Tamandua tetradactyla: one gene and its partner. The protein of the gene in region 1 purifies or fractionates together with the protein of each later gene. This does not show direct contact. Links are inferred from orthologs where the notes say so. Each region holds a gene or a part of one and is shown on either strand. Other genes may lie near its edges.

Region 1 (7,970 bases):
AGATTACAAAGCAGCCCTGGGACCAGACTAGCCCCTTAGAGCCCTTTTAGATCAGTCAGAAGCTGGGCCGGACCATGCCCCCAGGGTTCACAGTGCAGTGAAGTAGGCAGCCCTACTGAGCTGCCTCCCAGGGCCTGAGTTGGAGACAGTGCTGTGTACAACCACCTTGCAGCATCCTGACAGCATTGGGCTCTTGTACGCATAACCCCAGGAGAGGGGGCCAGGACTGCACTGACGATGAGGCAGACAGATTTTTTTCAGTGCCTTCTAAGGTTTGATCATGATCCTTGATGGAAGGGGGATTTGGGCTGACCAAACAGGCAGGCAGAACCAAGTAGGCTGTGGATAAGGATAACCCTGAATGGCAGGCCTGGCCCTGAGAGATGAACTAGAATATGATTGGAGCTGGGAACACAGACCTGTACGTCATGGGGACACCAGGGCTAACGGAAAAGGGCACAGGCGGCTGTCAGGACACAAGCTACCACACCAGAGACCAGGACCCTGCTGACGTGGCAGTCCTCTGCCCCAGCCTCACTTCCCCATTCCCCCATAACTCTGTTCCCTCCCCCCACCCCTCGCCCCTGCCTGTCAGCTGCTAACAGGGCTCTGCCCTGTGTCTGCCACACCTGTCACTGCCTGTCCGTGTCCGGGGGTGGGGGCCCCATCAGCCCCTCCTCAGCTGCCCGGCAGAGCAAGCAGTTAGTGGGGAGGGGAGGGAAGATGGAGCGGGGGCCAGCGGTGGGGGCAGGGCCAGGGCTGGCTGCCGGGACCCGGATCCGGGCACTGCTGGGCTGCCTGCTCAAGGTGTTGCTCTGGCTGGCCTCTGCCTTGCTATACTTTGGAAGTGAACAGGCTGCTCGCCTCCTGGGCAGTCCCTGCTTACGGCGCCTTTACCACGCCTGGCTAGCAGCAGTGGTCATCTTCGGTCCTCTTCTGCAGTTCCATGTCAACCCTCGGACTATCTTCGCCAGCCACGGCAACTTCTTTAACATGTGAGTCAACTCCAGGCTAAGGGAACCGGCTCCCTACACTCTGGGATTCGAGCTCCCTCCCCCAGGCCTCTGTCCTGCCAGCCTAAACACTAAAAATAGGCCAGGAGGTTGAAAAGAAGGTGGGCGGGGGGAGGGAACAGAGTTATGGGGGAATGGGGAAGTGAGGAGCAGGGCTGAAGGGGAAATGCGGATCCAAGAAGGCTAGGTGGTCCTCTAGGGAGATGGCAGCGTTTCAGTGGTCGGGGGTTGTGGAGGGCACGGGAAACAGAACCAGTGATGATGTGACACTGGACGCAGAATTGTGGATAAAGCAGAGATGGGGACACAGACCAGGGTGGGGAGATGCAGCTGGGGGGTCTCAGTGGTCTCCCCTCTTCTCTGCCCACAGAAAGTTTGTGAATTCAGCGTGGGGCTGGACGTGCACCTTTCTGGGGGGATTTGTGTTGCTGGTGGTGTTCCTGGCCACACGGCGTGTGGCGGTGACCGCCAGGCACCTGAGCCGACTGGTGGTGGGGGCAGCCGTGTGGCGGGGGGCCGGCCGGGCCTTCCTGCTCATCGAGGACCTGACGGGTTCCTGCTTCGAGCCTCTACCCCAGGGCCTGCTGCTCCACGAGCTGCCTGACCGCCGCAGCTGCCTGGCAGCCGGCCACCAGTGGCGGGGCTACACGGTCTCCTCCCACACCTTCCTGCTCACCTTCTGCTGCCTGCTCATGGCTGAGGAAGCAGCAGTGTTCGCCAAATACCTATCCCATGGGCTCCCGGCTGGTGCCCCACTGCGCCTTGTCTTCCTGCTCAACGTGCTGCTGCTGGGGCTCTGGAACTTCTTGCTGCTCTGTACCGTCATCTACTTCCACCAGTACACCCACAAGGTCGTGGGTGCCGCCGTGGGCACCTTTGCCTGGTACCTCACCTATGGCAGCTGGTATCATCAGCCCTGGTCCCCAGGGAGCCCAGGCCATGGGCTCTTCCCTCGTTCCCACTCCAGCCATAAGCACAACTGAAAGAAATAAAGGACAGCACGCCTGACTCTGGGTCCTCTCATCATTTGACCGGGGCTTGGGAGGGATGGGAAGGGTAGGACGACGGCCTGGCACCATTGGAATTCTTTAGGCATTCCTTGCTGGCACCATGAATGTTCCTTTTCCTGGGACATCCCTCCCACTGTCAGCCTCCTGACCCTCACAGAGCCATCTGGGGTTGGGATGTCAAGGAATGGTGCTGATAAGGCAGTTAACAGCGTCCTTGAGTGTGGGTATCATTTTGGGCTGAGCAGATGCTCCATCCCAGCCCCATCCCTTCCTGGCCCTGCCCCCCATACACTTACACACACACACACACACACACACACACACACACACACACACACACACACACACACACACACACACACACACACACTGAATCTCTCCTCTGACCTCCTCAGGACCTTGCTTCTCTGGGCACCCCACTCAGGGGCTCTTCCTCAAAGAGAGTCTGGGCGTGTTCATTCATTTAACAAATATTTATTGTGCCGAGCAACATTTCATGCTATGAGTGAGAGAGTTTCTGCTGTAGAGGAGCTTATGGGCTACAAGGAGAGGCAGATGACAAACACAAATAACAGCAAATGCATTGTGCTTCTGGACCAGCCAGACACCTGTCTAAGTTTATACATTCTTTATGTAAATTCACACATTTATTCCTCATCACAACACTTTGAAGTTTAGTAGTGTTCCCATTGTACAGTTGGGAAAACTGAGGCCCAGAGGTTAAGTAACTTATTACAAATTAGTAAATAGCAGAGCCAGGATTATTAGCCCAGAACTATATGGGCGTATTATCTATGTTCTAAACCTGAGGTTAGCAAAATATAGCCTGTTCATGGCCAGCTTTCTTGTGACCTGTGAGCTAAAAATGATTTATATATATATATTTTAATTTTTTAAAGTTAATTTTATTGAGACATAATTTACACACAATAAAATGCATCCATTTTAATTATATAAAGTTCTATGAGTTTACACACACACGTAACCACCACCACACTCAAGATACAGACGATTTCCATCACTTTCAGGAGTTCCTTCAGCAGTCACTCATTTTTCCTCTGATATTCTAGTAGTTGAATAAATTGAATATAAATTATTTACCCATTCTCGAATAAATATTTGGATTGTTTCCAAATTGGGCTTTTACAAATATTCTATGAACATTCAAATGAATGCTCCTAGAGATGCCTGGCGTATAACTAAGAATGGATTTATAAGATTTCTAGGACACACACCTTCTACTTCACTAGAAAATATCAAGTTGTTTTCCAAAGTGATTGTACCATTATGTATGTTAAATACACAGCGCAGGAGTTTTAGCTGGTCTACATTCTTGCCGACAGTCAATACTTTAATTTGGGCTAACCTGAGCGTAAGAATATTTTATTTCAATTTAAATATGTCTATCCATATGCATATGCAAGTGAGTATCTTTAATGTAGCTGCTGACCATTATAACTTTCTTTTTTGAAGTGCCTATTTTGCCATTTTTTCTATTTGGTTGCTTGTCTTTTTTTCATCGATTTGCTTTATACTCTGGATAATAATCCTATGTCTGAATAATAACTCTTCGTCAAGAATATTTGTTGCAGATAGATGGTCCCCGTTTTTGCTTAGTAATTTCATTTTTTATGATGTCATGATAAGCAGAAGTTAGTAATTTGAATATGGCTAGATTTATTAAATTTTTATCATTTGTATTTTTGCATTTTAAAAACTCATTGCCTTCCCAGTGCCTGCTCATGTTAAAAAAAAACCATTGCCTTCAAGTTCAAAAAGGAATCTCCATTCAGTTTGACAGGATTTATATTTTTTAATGGTTGGAAAAAATCAGAAGATTTCATGACATGAAAATTATATGAAATTCAAATTTCAGTGCTCAAAAATTAAAGTTCTACAGGAAACCAGTCATGCTATACGAATATTTAGGTATCGTTTATGACTGCTTTCCTGCTATGACAGCAGAGTTGACTAGTTGCAGGGACTGTATGTACTCACAAAGCCTAAAATATTTACTATCTGGCTCTTTACAGAATAAGTTTGCCAACTTCTGGTCTAAATCATTACAATATTCTGTTTCAAAAAATAAACTAGGTAATATCGGAGAGTTAAGTGCTGTGAAGAACTAAATCAGGCTGCTGTGTATTTAGAGTTGGAGGGAGGTACTTTAGAAAGGACGACTGAGAGTTCTCTCTAAGAGGTGACATTTGAGCCGAGAGCCCAGCGGCATCCCTAGCCAGGGAAAGGTTGTTTCAGGCAAAGGGATTAACAGAGGTAAAGGTCCTGAGGCAGGGATGAACATGACCCGTTTGAAAAGTGAGCAGAAAGGTCAAGTGTTTGCAAGTGTAATGAAGGAGGGGGAAACAGTGGGAAATGAAGCTTGAATGGGAGGACAGGTGCCAGGCAGGCCGGGCAGGGCCTTATGGATCAGGCAAGCCCTTTTGATTTCATTTTAAGGTCAACAGGAAGCTGTGAAAGAGTTTGAAGCCAGAGGAAGGCATGGTCCCTCTATTTTGTGGAGAGTGAGTTATAGAAGAATGGAGGCTGCAACAACAGTCCAGGAGAGTCCAGGGAGCTTGGATCAGGGTGGTGCCAGCGTCTGCATGTCTCTCACCGGCTAGAGGATGCCCACGCTGGCGGGACGAGCTCCCCCTCTGAGCCGCAGGTAAAGCTTATCACTGTGCCAGGCCGAGCAGGGGAGGAGAGCCGGTGAGGAGTGGGGAACCAGGAGCTGAGAAGTTAGGACGGCAGGGAGTCAAGAAGGTGGGGCGAGGTGGGGAGCCTAGGGCGGCGAGGAGGCGGGGATGCCAGGCCGAGAGGCGAGGAAGCAGGGAGGGCGGAGAGGCCGGGAGGCGGGAAGCGGGGCGTCGAGAGGCGGGGGATAGGGGGGCAAGAGGGCGGAGACAGGAGGCCGGCGGTCGAGAGGAGGGAGGGAGGTGGGAGACCGGCTGGGCGGGGGAGGTCGCTGGAAAGGCTCCTTTTGGGCTCTAGGGGGAGCCCCGCCTCGCTGCCTTCCTCCGCCCCTCCACCCCTCTCCTATCCCCGGCCTGTCCCGCCTCCTCCAGTACCTACACTCCCCGCTACCCAGGAAGGCCGGGCGGGTGGCGAGGGCTGCTTTCGCTTTTCCTTCTCCGTGCCCACTCCTCGCTCCTCGTGCGGCGCAAGGCGGCCCGCCGCGACCATGGCCACGCTCAGGGTCCAGCCTGAAGCCCAAGCCAAGGTGAGCGCTGCGGGTTCCAGCAAGGGCCCATTAGGGAGGCGTGGTGCGGAGAGGCTCCCTGATCTGCCCTCCCCCTCCAGCCCCGGACATGAAGAGGGGGGTCAGTCCACCAAGGCCACCTGTCTGGAGCACCTGAGCTCACGTGGAAACCGGAGAGGCTGCCTGCCGAGAGGCGAGGGGGCCGTGGTTCAGTGGGGTGAGGTGAAGCAGAGAGCTGGCGTGCAGGGGAAGTCCGCTGGCCTGGGGCCCTGGGCCACACACAGACAGGGTGTGGGGCCAGCAGTGCCACCTGATGGTCTTTCTCACAGAGGGCCCGGGACCCCCTCCATCCCTTCCCCAATCGCAGGGGGTTCTGTCCTACAAGTCCTCTGAACATGGCCTAACAACCCAGGGGATCTGCTCCCACATCAGCAACTCACCCTTCACCACCAGGAACGTTCTCAACTTCCAAATCCAGCCGCAGGGGAATCTACTTCTCTCTCTGGGGATCTACACTACTTTCCCCAAATCTAGACCCACAGAGATCCACTCCTGTACCACCCGGATCAAACCCCACAGAGATCCATCTCACTTTCTTCAAGTCTGGCCTTAGAGGGATTCACTCCACCCCTTCCCAGGTCCAGGCCCTACATAACCCTAAAGGAACTGTCCTCAAATACTGGCCTTCAAGTCAGGTTTCTGAGGGGTTGCCTGTGCTCCGCAGGTGGATGTGTTCCGTGAAGACCTGTGTACCAAGGTGAGACCTGCCCATCAGCCCTCCCTTGCCAGCCCTGCTCCACTGCTTAGGAAGGACATTGATTTTGACCCCATCCCCCCCCACCCCCACCTGCACACAGGCAGAAAACCTGCTTGGGAGCTATTTCCCCAAGAAGATTTCTGAGTTGGATGCATTTTTAAAGGTACTATGGCCAGGCATGGGGATAGAGAGTAGGGGCCAAGGGAAGAATTTGGGGGACTAGGAAAGTAAGGAGAGGACCCCCTTACCTTCAGCCCTTCTCCCACCCTGCACCAGGAGCCAGCTCTCAATGAAGCCAACCTGAGCAATCTAAAGGCTCCGTTGGACATCCCAGTGCCTGATCCAGTCAAGGAGAAAGAGAAAGAGGAACGGAAAAAACAGCAAGAGGCAAGCTCAGGAAAGCTGGGGGAGGGACCCACCCTAGAGGGAAATCATCCTTAAGCCTGACTTCCATAAGCCCTTCTCTCTCTCTGCAGAAGGAAGACAAAGAAGAAAAGAAGAAAGGGGAAGATGAAGACAAAGGTACCTGAAACCAGTCCAGTGGAAAGGATCTTAATTCCCACCCCCCAGGAGCTCCTCCCTAAGAGTTCCTCTTCCCTTCCCCACCCCTCACTCAGGCCTGATCATGTGACTGACTCATTGCCCATTCCCCAGGTCCTCCCTGTGGCCCAGTGAGCTGTAATGAGAAGATCGTGGTCCTCCTGCAGCGCCTGAAGCCTGAGATCAAGGATGTCATTGAACAGCTCAACCTCGTGAGCCCTCCCACGTCTACCCCCAGGCTGCAGATGGAACCCTTTGTCCTCCTTGGTCCCCGCCAGTTAGGGCACGTGGCACCTGCCAGGTCTTAGTAGGAGTGGGCACAGCAAGTGAAGCCAGAGCAGGCCCTGAGGCCCAGGATGGACTGGCTCACCCTCACCCACTGTGGGCAGGAAAGCAGGAGCGTGCAGGAGCCTGGGAATTGGGTGGGACAGGCTGTTATGAGTTTGACACAATTCCTTCCTCCCAGGTCACCACCTGGTTGCAGCTGCAGATACCTCGGATTGAGGACGGGAACAACTTTGGAGTGGCTGTCCAGGTGTGAGGGCTCCCCCACTCCCTGGTCCTCCTGTTCCCTCCGGTCCTTGCTTCCTTCTACTTTCCCCAATGCTTTCTTTCCCCAGGAGAAAGTGTTTGAGCTGATGACCACCCTTCACACCAAGCTGGAAGGCTTCCACACCCAAATCTCCAAGTGAGTGACCACCCACTCATACCCACACCCACAGGCACCCTCTGCCTTTGGTCTGGGTACAGAGGCCTGGGCTCATACTGCCTTCTCCCTCTCCTCACACCTCTCCCACTTCCACAGGTACTTCTTGGAGCGTGGTGATGCCGTGACCAAGGCAGCCAAGCAGCCCCATGTGGTAGGTGAGGCCCAGGCCAAGGTGCATGGAGGGAAGGACACACTGGAATGAAGTCAGGCCCTACCCTCAATTCTCCCTCAGGGGGATTATCGGCAGCTGGTGCACGAGTTGGATGAGGCAGAGTACCGGGACATCCGGCTCATGGTCATGGAGATCCGCAATGCTTATGTGAGGAGGGCAGGGCAGGGCCGGGCAGGGATGGGCAGAGACAGCTTTCCCAGGCTACCTATACCCTGACCGTGCAGGCTGTGGGTGAAGGGTACAAAGCTAAGCCTCTTCACAAGGCTGGAAATGAGGCACAGAGCTTCTGGGGGCCTCTGGCTGATACCCACTCCTCCCCTGGTCCTGTAGGCCGTGCTATATGACATCATCCTAAAGAACTTCGAGAAGCTCAAGAAGCCCAGAGGAGAAACAAAGGGAATGATCTACTGAGAGCCTCCTGCCTTTTACCAGGGACTCCAGACTTTCCCCCCACCTCATCCTGTTGAGGTTTCTCTCTCCTTTGCCTCCCAGGGAAAATAAATATAGTCATACCGGTCGCTGCCCATCAGCCCAAGTCTCTTTATTGGTTCCTGGTCCCCCTGGCCCTGG
Region 2 (7,233 bases), on another chromosome or scaffold:
CACGTAGCAATTTTAAGACTTGCCATAGTGGAAAATATCTGTAGAGGATTGCCTTAAGAATATGCAGATAGTCAATTCCTCTGGAAACACAGTTTTATGCTTAGATTGAGCCAAACCTGAAAAGAGTTACTTATAGGACTCCAATACTTTAGAAGTTTAAAGATTTGCTTTTTCTGAATTGCATTCAATGTATCAGTGGTCTACATTGTACCTTATGGTAAATTAATTTCTAATATTCTAAGTAATTTAACATAACACCTTGAAGATAAAGTGTTTTCCTCAAGAGGAATTCCCTGAAACAGAATAAAACTTTTCCACAATTATAACAGTTATAACTATCATCTTAAAAAAAATCAAGAATTCAAATTATTTCCAAGTATTATTTAAATGAAAGTATTTATGTAAATATTTTTGTGTAAGAGAAAACGCTGGTAAATGAACAAAATCTGAGCCAAAATGAACAATTCTTGCTATGAATTTTAAAGTTATTTTATTTTTCTGTTGGAAGTTCTGTTTTATTTAAAACCTTATAGTATACTGACCTCTATACCAACATTTTCAAAGTTTATCCATGATATAGTTTTCAAATTATTCCACATAAAGCTGTTTATAAATAACATTTTCATCTATACTGATGATTTTAAAACAGTAACCACAACAACACAAAAACAACGAATCTTCCTCTCTTTAGCAGAAATGTACTGTGGAGTCATCTTGTTTAAACGTCTGCGGTATCAATTCTGGGTGAACCAGGATGGTCTCTTCCTCTCTCGTTCAATGATCCTCTTGCCCTGATCTTGTTCAGCTGGTGTCTCTCCTGTATACAGCACCACAGTCTCCACATTAGGAGCCTTAAAAGGGCCCCCTTCTTGTTTCCATATCTGTCTTCTGATTTCTACAGTCTCCTTGCGCACCTTAGCATAGCAATAGCCACAAAGGACATGCTTCTGTTTCAGGTGGCCACATTCAGGACAAATGTCTATATTATTCTTTAAAAAAACAAAGAAACATATTTCAACAAGAAACATAATGTCCCCCAAAAATCACTGACAGGAATTGTGCTTACATTTTAACTTTCTTAAAATGTTCATACTGCATGAGGTTATATACGATCTAGTTAAATCTCACCTTCAGAGAGAAACTAAGGGCAAGCAACACTGAGTTTGAGTTAAAAAAAAAAGAAAAACCAGGGCCAGAACTCCCATCTACTGACTTTGAATCTGGTCTCATTTCTAAAATCTTAAATTCTCTCAACCAAATTGTATGAATTATTATAAGACTAAGTAATGAAATGTTTTACAGTTTCAGAGTTTAAGTCCAGACCCAAGTGCAATTCAGTAATGCTTACTGGCTCAAGTTCTAAGGGTCTGGTTTAATATGGAATGTGTAAGCTTATGAAGTCAACTTTGTTCTCGAGGTTCATTTGTATAGTGCTGCTGTTATGTAATGCCATAAGATAAATGGTCATTGAAAGCACAACTGTTAAAGCCATGAATTAATGGATCAGAGGTTTTCTGTCAGTAAAGAGCGCATCCATGTGTGGGAAAATCTTCAATTAACTGAGGCTTGAGAATCAGAATGCCAGGGCTCATATCTTGTCTCTACGATTTAATAGCTATGTGACGACAGGCATTCTTTTTGTCTCAGTTTCTTCATGAAGAAAATAGTATTTACTCTGAGGGTTATTGTAAGGATTTGATGAGATAGAGCACATAAAAGCACTTAGATGCATTGTAGGATTTTAATACATGTTAGCTATTTTTATTATTCATTTGACGATTTTCTTTCATAGCATTTTACTGGACACAAAATAAATATGTAAGGGCTAGTAATATCTAAGAGCCAAAAGACCTATAGCTTCTGACTTTAATTTTAAGCTCTACCATAGTTAGGGTGCTTATCCAAAGTGGCTCAAAATTACACAGCTTAGGACTGGCGCAGCTCACAATTCATAAGTCATATAAGCTCTTCACAACCATAAGTATTCTGTCCAATCCCCAAACTACCTCCTTGGCAGTGTTCTTAATGTTTAGGCTAAAGGACAGTATACCTATATGTGAAAATATTGAATTTCATTTCAGCTAAAGGAAAGCAGACATATAAAATCTGAGAATAAGTTATCCATAAGCTACGTGACTATACCATTAGGATGTTAAATGACAGACCTGAGGAAAAGGTACACCCATAAAATCAACACATTACCTTAATTTTAATAAGCTTCCGAGGATTTCTTCTCCTACACCGGTTAACTTCAATAGTGCGTCTGTTTTTGGGAGCTGCCATCCAAAAGATACTATCCAAAAAGCTGGAAATCTCCTTACTTCCACTGGTATCATTTACAGATTCTGCAAACATGGCTGGACCCTGAACTGCTAATGCTGGTCCTATAAAATAAAACATGGAGACAAAGAATGAGTTTCTAGCTTTTAAATGACTATTTATAGATATAATTCTCTTTAATCAACAGTGATCATGCAATAGATATATAAACATGAACACATATGCAGATACACACACGGGTGGCAGAGAGAATTTAACATCTGTTAGTTAAATTCAATAAAGACATTTAACAGGAAAGTGTAGCTATTCAAATATACTAAAGCTCATACAAGAGGCCATAAGGAATTTTAAAAAGCACAAGAATAATTTTTTCTCAGCATTCTGCTGAAATTCTACCAAGAGTTTGTAATTGTCTGAAACGCAAAACTCAGGGGTTTAGTAGCAAACACGAATTAAAGTCTGAAAGGTACCTGCCTTAAACAAAATCACCAATTGACCAAACAAAAAAATCACTACATCGTTCACATATTATTTGTTGGACAGTCCATAATTACTTTACAAACAAATAATATATCAAAAGACTGAGGTTTCCAAAATACACTTCTGAGCTGCAGAGATAACCACCTATTTGCTCTTTTTGTTTTTCACTATATTCAAGTGGAGTCAAGTTCCTCTGTCACATAATCTGTTTATGCCCCTCAAAAAAATCACTGAAATCTACATAATATTTAACTTTGATTTTCCTCTTTTCTCTAAGGTCAAGTGCTAGTTCATTACCACTTAGTCTGACAGTCATTAATTTATTTGTGATATCAAAGTTTCACATTTGCTTTTCTAAACTGTTTTTAAAGACGAAACGATTTTTTCACTATTACCTTGCCATTCCTCAGACTTGAATGCTTCTCACTTCAGCGACTCATAAAAAAACAACAACACCAAGCTCTCTAACAGTTAATAACTGAAACTACTTTTCAATACATCTGTACTGAAACGCATAGCCTAGGAGCAAAGAGCTCTGGCTCTGGCCAGCCTGGTTTTGGATCCTCCATCTGTATGATGCTGGGGATTCTCTGAGCCTACTTCTTCAGTTGTAAAGTGGAACATCTAATGGGATTGTTGTGTGGAAATAGATGTAGAAGTCTTACTTTGCACAATACATGGTATATACCGGGGCTCTCTGTTCAGAATGCCTGTGTATTATCACTTTCGGGGCATACTGAGGCATACCCCAAACGTGCGGTACTTTACAAATCGAGTAAATGTAAACGTCAAAGCTATGCCAGTTATAACAGTAAAGACACAAAATTAATTCCCAGGCGAAACAGAGAAATCAGGCTTGGTCTTCTCGGAGCTCAAATTCTGTGGACAAAATGCATTCCGAGGGCTGGAAAGGGAAAGTAAAATCGATCCAGATAGTGGCGGGCCTTAATGCCCAAACTAAAATCCAAACTAAAACACTTGGATTATAATCTGTGCAGGAATGGGACAAGCAGGGGGCATGGGGCCGGGGGAAAACAGCTGTCTGTTGTTCCTAAGCGAAAGTCACGAACAATATTCTCTAGGAGCGGCTGGGTATCAGAACCCAGGCAAGCACGCAGGCTCTTAAACATGTCTACAGCACTGCCTAGGGTCCCCTCATCCAACCCCTTCACCACGGCGGTCCTCTTCACCTACCACACGGAGGACTGGGAAAACCTGGTCGGCTCTGCAGAAGTTTCCGCTGCAGCCGCTCCCAACAGTTCCGGAGCAGTCTCCCCGCTCCCGGCCACGGGGAAAGGACCAGCAGAAGCATGCTCGACGCCATCTTCCCAGTCAGAAGACGACGCCCACCGGCTGCTGAGTCCCGCCGTCACCTGGGGCATGCGTACAGACGCAACGCCGTGGCGAACCCTCCTCCTGGAACTACAATGCCCAGATGTCCCCGCAGCGGCTGTGACTCTCCTCCAATCAGAGAGAGAGTAGGAAATAGGGGTGGGAGGGGAAGTGAGAGGAAGCCGGGTACGGGACGCATGCGTGCGAATGTGCCTTGGCTCTCCGGGCAAAGATGGCGGAACGAGGTTACAGTTTTTCGCTGACTACATTCAGGTATGGGAGAGTTCCCCAGGTCCTCCGCGTTGCGGAGATTGGAGGCGCTCCGTCAGCCGGGTTCTTTGCGTCCTGGCCTCTGACCTGGTGCTTCCGGAGGGTCCGGTATAGAATAGGGGAAGGAATGCGGCGTTGCAAAGTCATTTGCCGGACCACGGTACTGGGGAGTGGGTACTGGGGAGCAGCAGTCCCAGGAGGCCACGCGGCTTGTGGGATTTGGGGTAAACTTGGGGCTCATGGAAGATGAGGACTCCAGCCAGAGATTCGTTTACGTTTTGGCGCCCAGATAGGAAGGCAGTTTTGGATAAGTCATCTCTGGGTAACCCTTTCAGAACTCTGTATTTGCTTCCTGGCCCATTCGGGCCTGATTCGGGAGCGTCCGAAACTCGGACTCTTGGTCCAGTGTGTGGAGTCCCTTTTCCTCGGAAAGCCTCCGTTTTCTGGAGTTTTAGTCTCCAGTTGGCCATAGTGACTTTAGAAACCTCCCGCTTTCGGTTTCTGTGCCTCTGTTAGAAGAATAAAGAAAAAATGAAAGCGTTACTCATTCTGTCACTTGGTGCTTGTGGACCTAGTACTTCTCGCTGAAGTACCAGGCTATTTGCGTTTTAGCTATTTTTTTGAGGATGGCATATTAACTTTAAAAAAGATTATAGACTTTTCAGTTGTCGAACAAGAGGTTAAAAATAATATTTTTGAAAATACAGTTGAAATAATCATCGTTCCCAATGTAAGAAACCATCACCGAAGGATTTAGTAAGTCGATAAGGGAAAGGTTCTAATTTGGCTGTTTTCTTAAGGAGCACCAATGCTCTACCTAAATATAGTCCTGTTTAATGACTAAAGCAGATTGGCTGTAAGTTTTGTTGAGTACGTTCTTGCGTGGGTACAGCTTAACGTCCTACTTCTCTTTCCACAACCATGTATGATAAATGTCCTGCTAACACTTTACAGATGAGGAAACCAGAGCTCAGAAATTAAGTGATTTGTTCAAGATCATCAATGAGTAGCCGAATTGGCATTCAAACTGGTTCTCTATGAAGGCAAAAGTAATGCACTTTCTATTACGTTGTTGTCTTAAAATCCTAAAATACTTTCCTTCTGACAGTTTTCGATAAGGGAGGATATGTACTAGATTTTTTTTTTAACCTTTGAATGAAATTAATTTAATTCTGCAATGAAAGGGACAATATGTGCCAGGTAGTCATTTCATATTAGTGAGCAAAGCAAATGATCCTTTATCTCTAAGGAAGTGTAATCCTGGTGTAATTGAAACAAAACAATATATGTCATGAGCGACTGAAACTTTTTTAATGTTTCTTTATCAAAATAATTTTCTTTTTCTGAAAGGAGTTCATCTTTTATTTTTTTAACATGGTGAGTTCATCTCTCTTTTAGCTAAAAAAGAAAACATTTGTCTCCAGTCTGTTTTAATCAGGATTAAACAATTCACAGTAGAAGTGACTAGAGACTACATAAAGAAGTGTTACTGTGAACTACATTCAGTTGAGGAGGTTGATAATAAATGAGTAAAACAAATTGGCTCCTGGTAATGAATTCTGAAAAAATGCTTTTCTTTCCCTAGTTTTATAAAGTTTAAGAGGGTGGAAAGATTGGGCAGTCAGGAAAGGCCTATGTTTAGAGGTAATTTTGAGACTAGAATATGAAAAGGAGCCAGCCATTTGAGATTTAGGAGTAAGAAGAATTGTGGACAGAGAGAACAGCTTGTTTGTGAAAGCCCTAAAGGTGGAAAAGAGCTTATGGTCTTAAAGGAGTTGAAATAAGCTGGAGTATAGTGAGCAAGGATATATGTGGCTAAGGGCCAAATGATGCAGGGCTTTGTAGGCTAGAGTAAGGAGTTTTTATTTTGTTTTAAATGAACCAAGAAGTTATTACCAAATTTATGGAGGAGTGTGACATGGTGCAAAAATAGGAAAAGTAGTTAATAGGCTATTTCAGTTTCCCTGGTCTTTTGGAATAAGGGTAATGGGAGGACAGAATACAATGATGTCTTGGATTGATTGCTCAGTGATGGGTAGACCAGCTTGGGCAGGCACACAGGAAATAAAAATGATAAAAGTATGTATAGGTGGCTCTGGGAATATAGAAAAGAGAGCTGTTAAGTTTACCTGAATCTGTATATTCCACAGAGTTATTTCAGCTAGGTATTGAACAATAATTGAAAACTGGATTGACCCAGAAAGTCATAATATAATTATTGAAATAGTGACCATTAAAGCACAAGTACAGCTTAATTTTAAAAATTTAAGTGTCTACTGATGTTATTCTGCTTAAGTCAGCTAATTTTGTAATTTAAGTCTTTGTAAATCTGTCACCCTTAGGTTTATTCTTTAAATAGGTGTAGATGTGTCTCTATTAACCGAGTGATTGTGGACTCCTCAAACTAGGTTATTGCTAGACTACTGACTGAGTAGAGTTTATGCTCTGTTGAGGAGGAAAAATATTGTAAAAACAATTCAGATATGATGAATCTTAGCCAAAGAGGAAGTACAGGACACATAGCATAAATGTATGGGTATTTAACCTAATCTGAGGGGTCAGAGCTGGCTTCTTCCCTGAGGATGTGACATTTCTGCTGAGGAAGGATAGCAAGGAAGGAGTTAACCAGGCCATAGAGTGGAAAGCATTCCGGAGGAATTAGTTTGTAAAATGGGCGTTTGAGGTGTAAGAGTAGGTTCTCTGTCAGGTTCAAGATGGTATACTTCTTCTAACTCAACAAATAAATTGAAATAAAGTATGACCTGTAAGGCCAGTTTGGGACTAGAATTAGACCACCAAACCTATGGAACCAGACTTAATTATAGCTACTTCATGGCATCTAGAAGTAGTTTTATTGTATAGAAAATAATT

What was found. Proteins that work in one complex are often made in the same cells at the same time.
Region 2: the proteins of PSME1 (region 1) and PSMA2 purify together in Homo sapiens (affinity purification with mass spectrometry; 6 studies listed by BioGRID and IntAct, with this or other methods). This does not show direct contact. The link is inferred for Tamandua tetradactyla from reciprocal best matches to the Homo sapiens genes PSME1 and PSMA2.

Annotation. Positions count from the first base shown.
Region 1 is NC_135340.1:30,655,823-30,663,792, reverse strand, and holds PSME1 (proteasome activator complex subunit 1), read left to right. Parts: upstream 1-4,953; 5' UTR 4,954-5,204; coding exon 5,205-5,243; intron 5,244-5,946; coding exon 5,947-5,979; intron 5,980-6,079; coding exon 6,080-6,142; intron 6,143-6,255; coding exon 6,256-6,366; intron 6,367-6,455; coding exon 6,456-6,501; intron 6,502-6,633; coding exon 6,634-6,731; intron 6,732-6,985; coding exon 6,986-7,054; intron 7,055-7,139; coding exon 7,140-7,207; intron 7,208-7,324; coding exon 7,325-7,379; exon of another isoform or gene 7,380-7,383; intron 7,384-7,460; coding exon 7,461-7,547; intron 7,548-7,730; coding exon 7,731-7,811; 3' UTR 7,812-7,929; downstream 7,930-7,970. Other genes in the region: FITM1 (fat storage-inducing transmembrane protein 1), read left to right, coding at 724-995, 1,384-1,996. UniProt on the Homo sapiens protein: Implicated in immunoproteasome assembly and required for efficient antigen processing. The PA28 activator complex enhances the generation of class I binding peptides by altering the cleavage pattern of the proteasome.
Region 2 is NC_135327.1:79,158,157-79,165,389, forward strand, and holds the start of PSMA2 (proteasome subunit alpha type-2), read left to right. Parts: upstream 1-4,233; 5' UTR 4,234-4,324; coding exon 4,325-4,365; intron 4,366-7,233. Other genes in the region: MRPL32 (large ribosomal subunit protein bL32m), read right to left, coding at 735-989, 2,203-2,384, 3,955-4,084.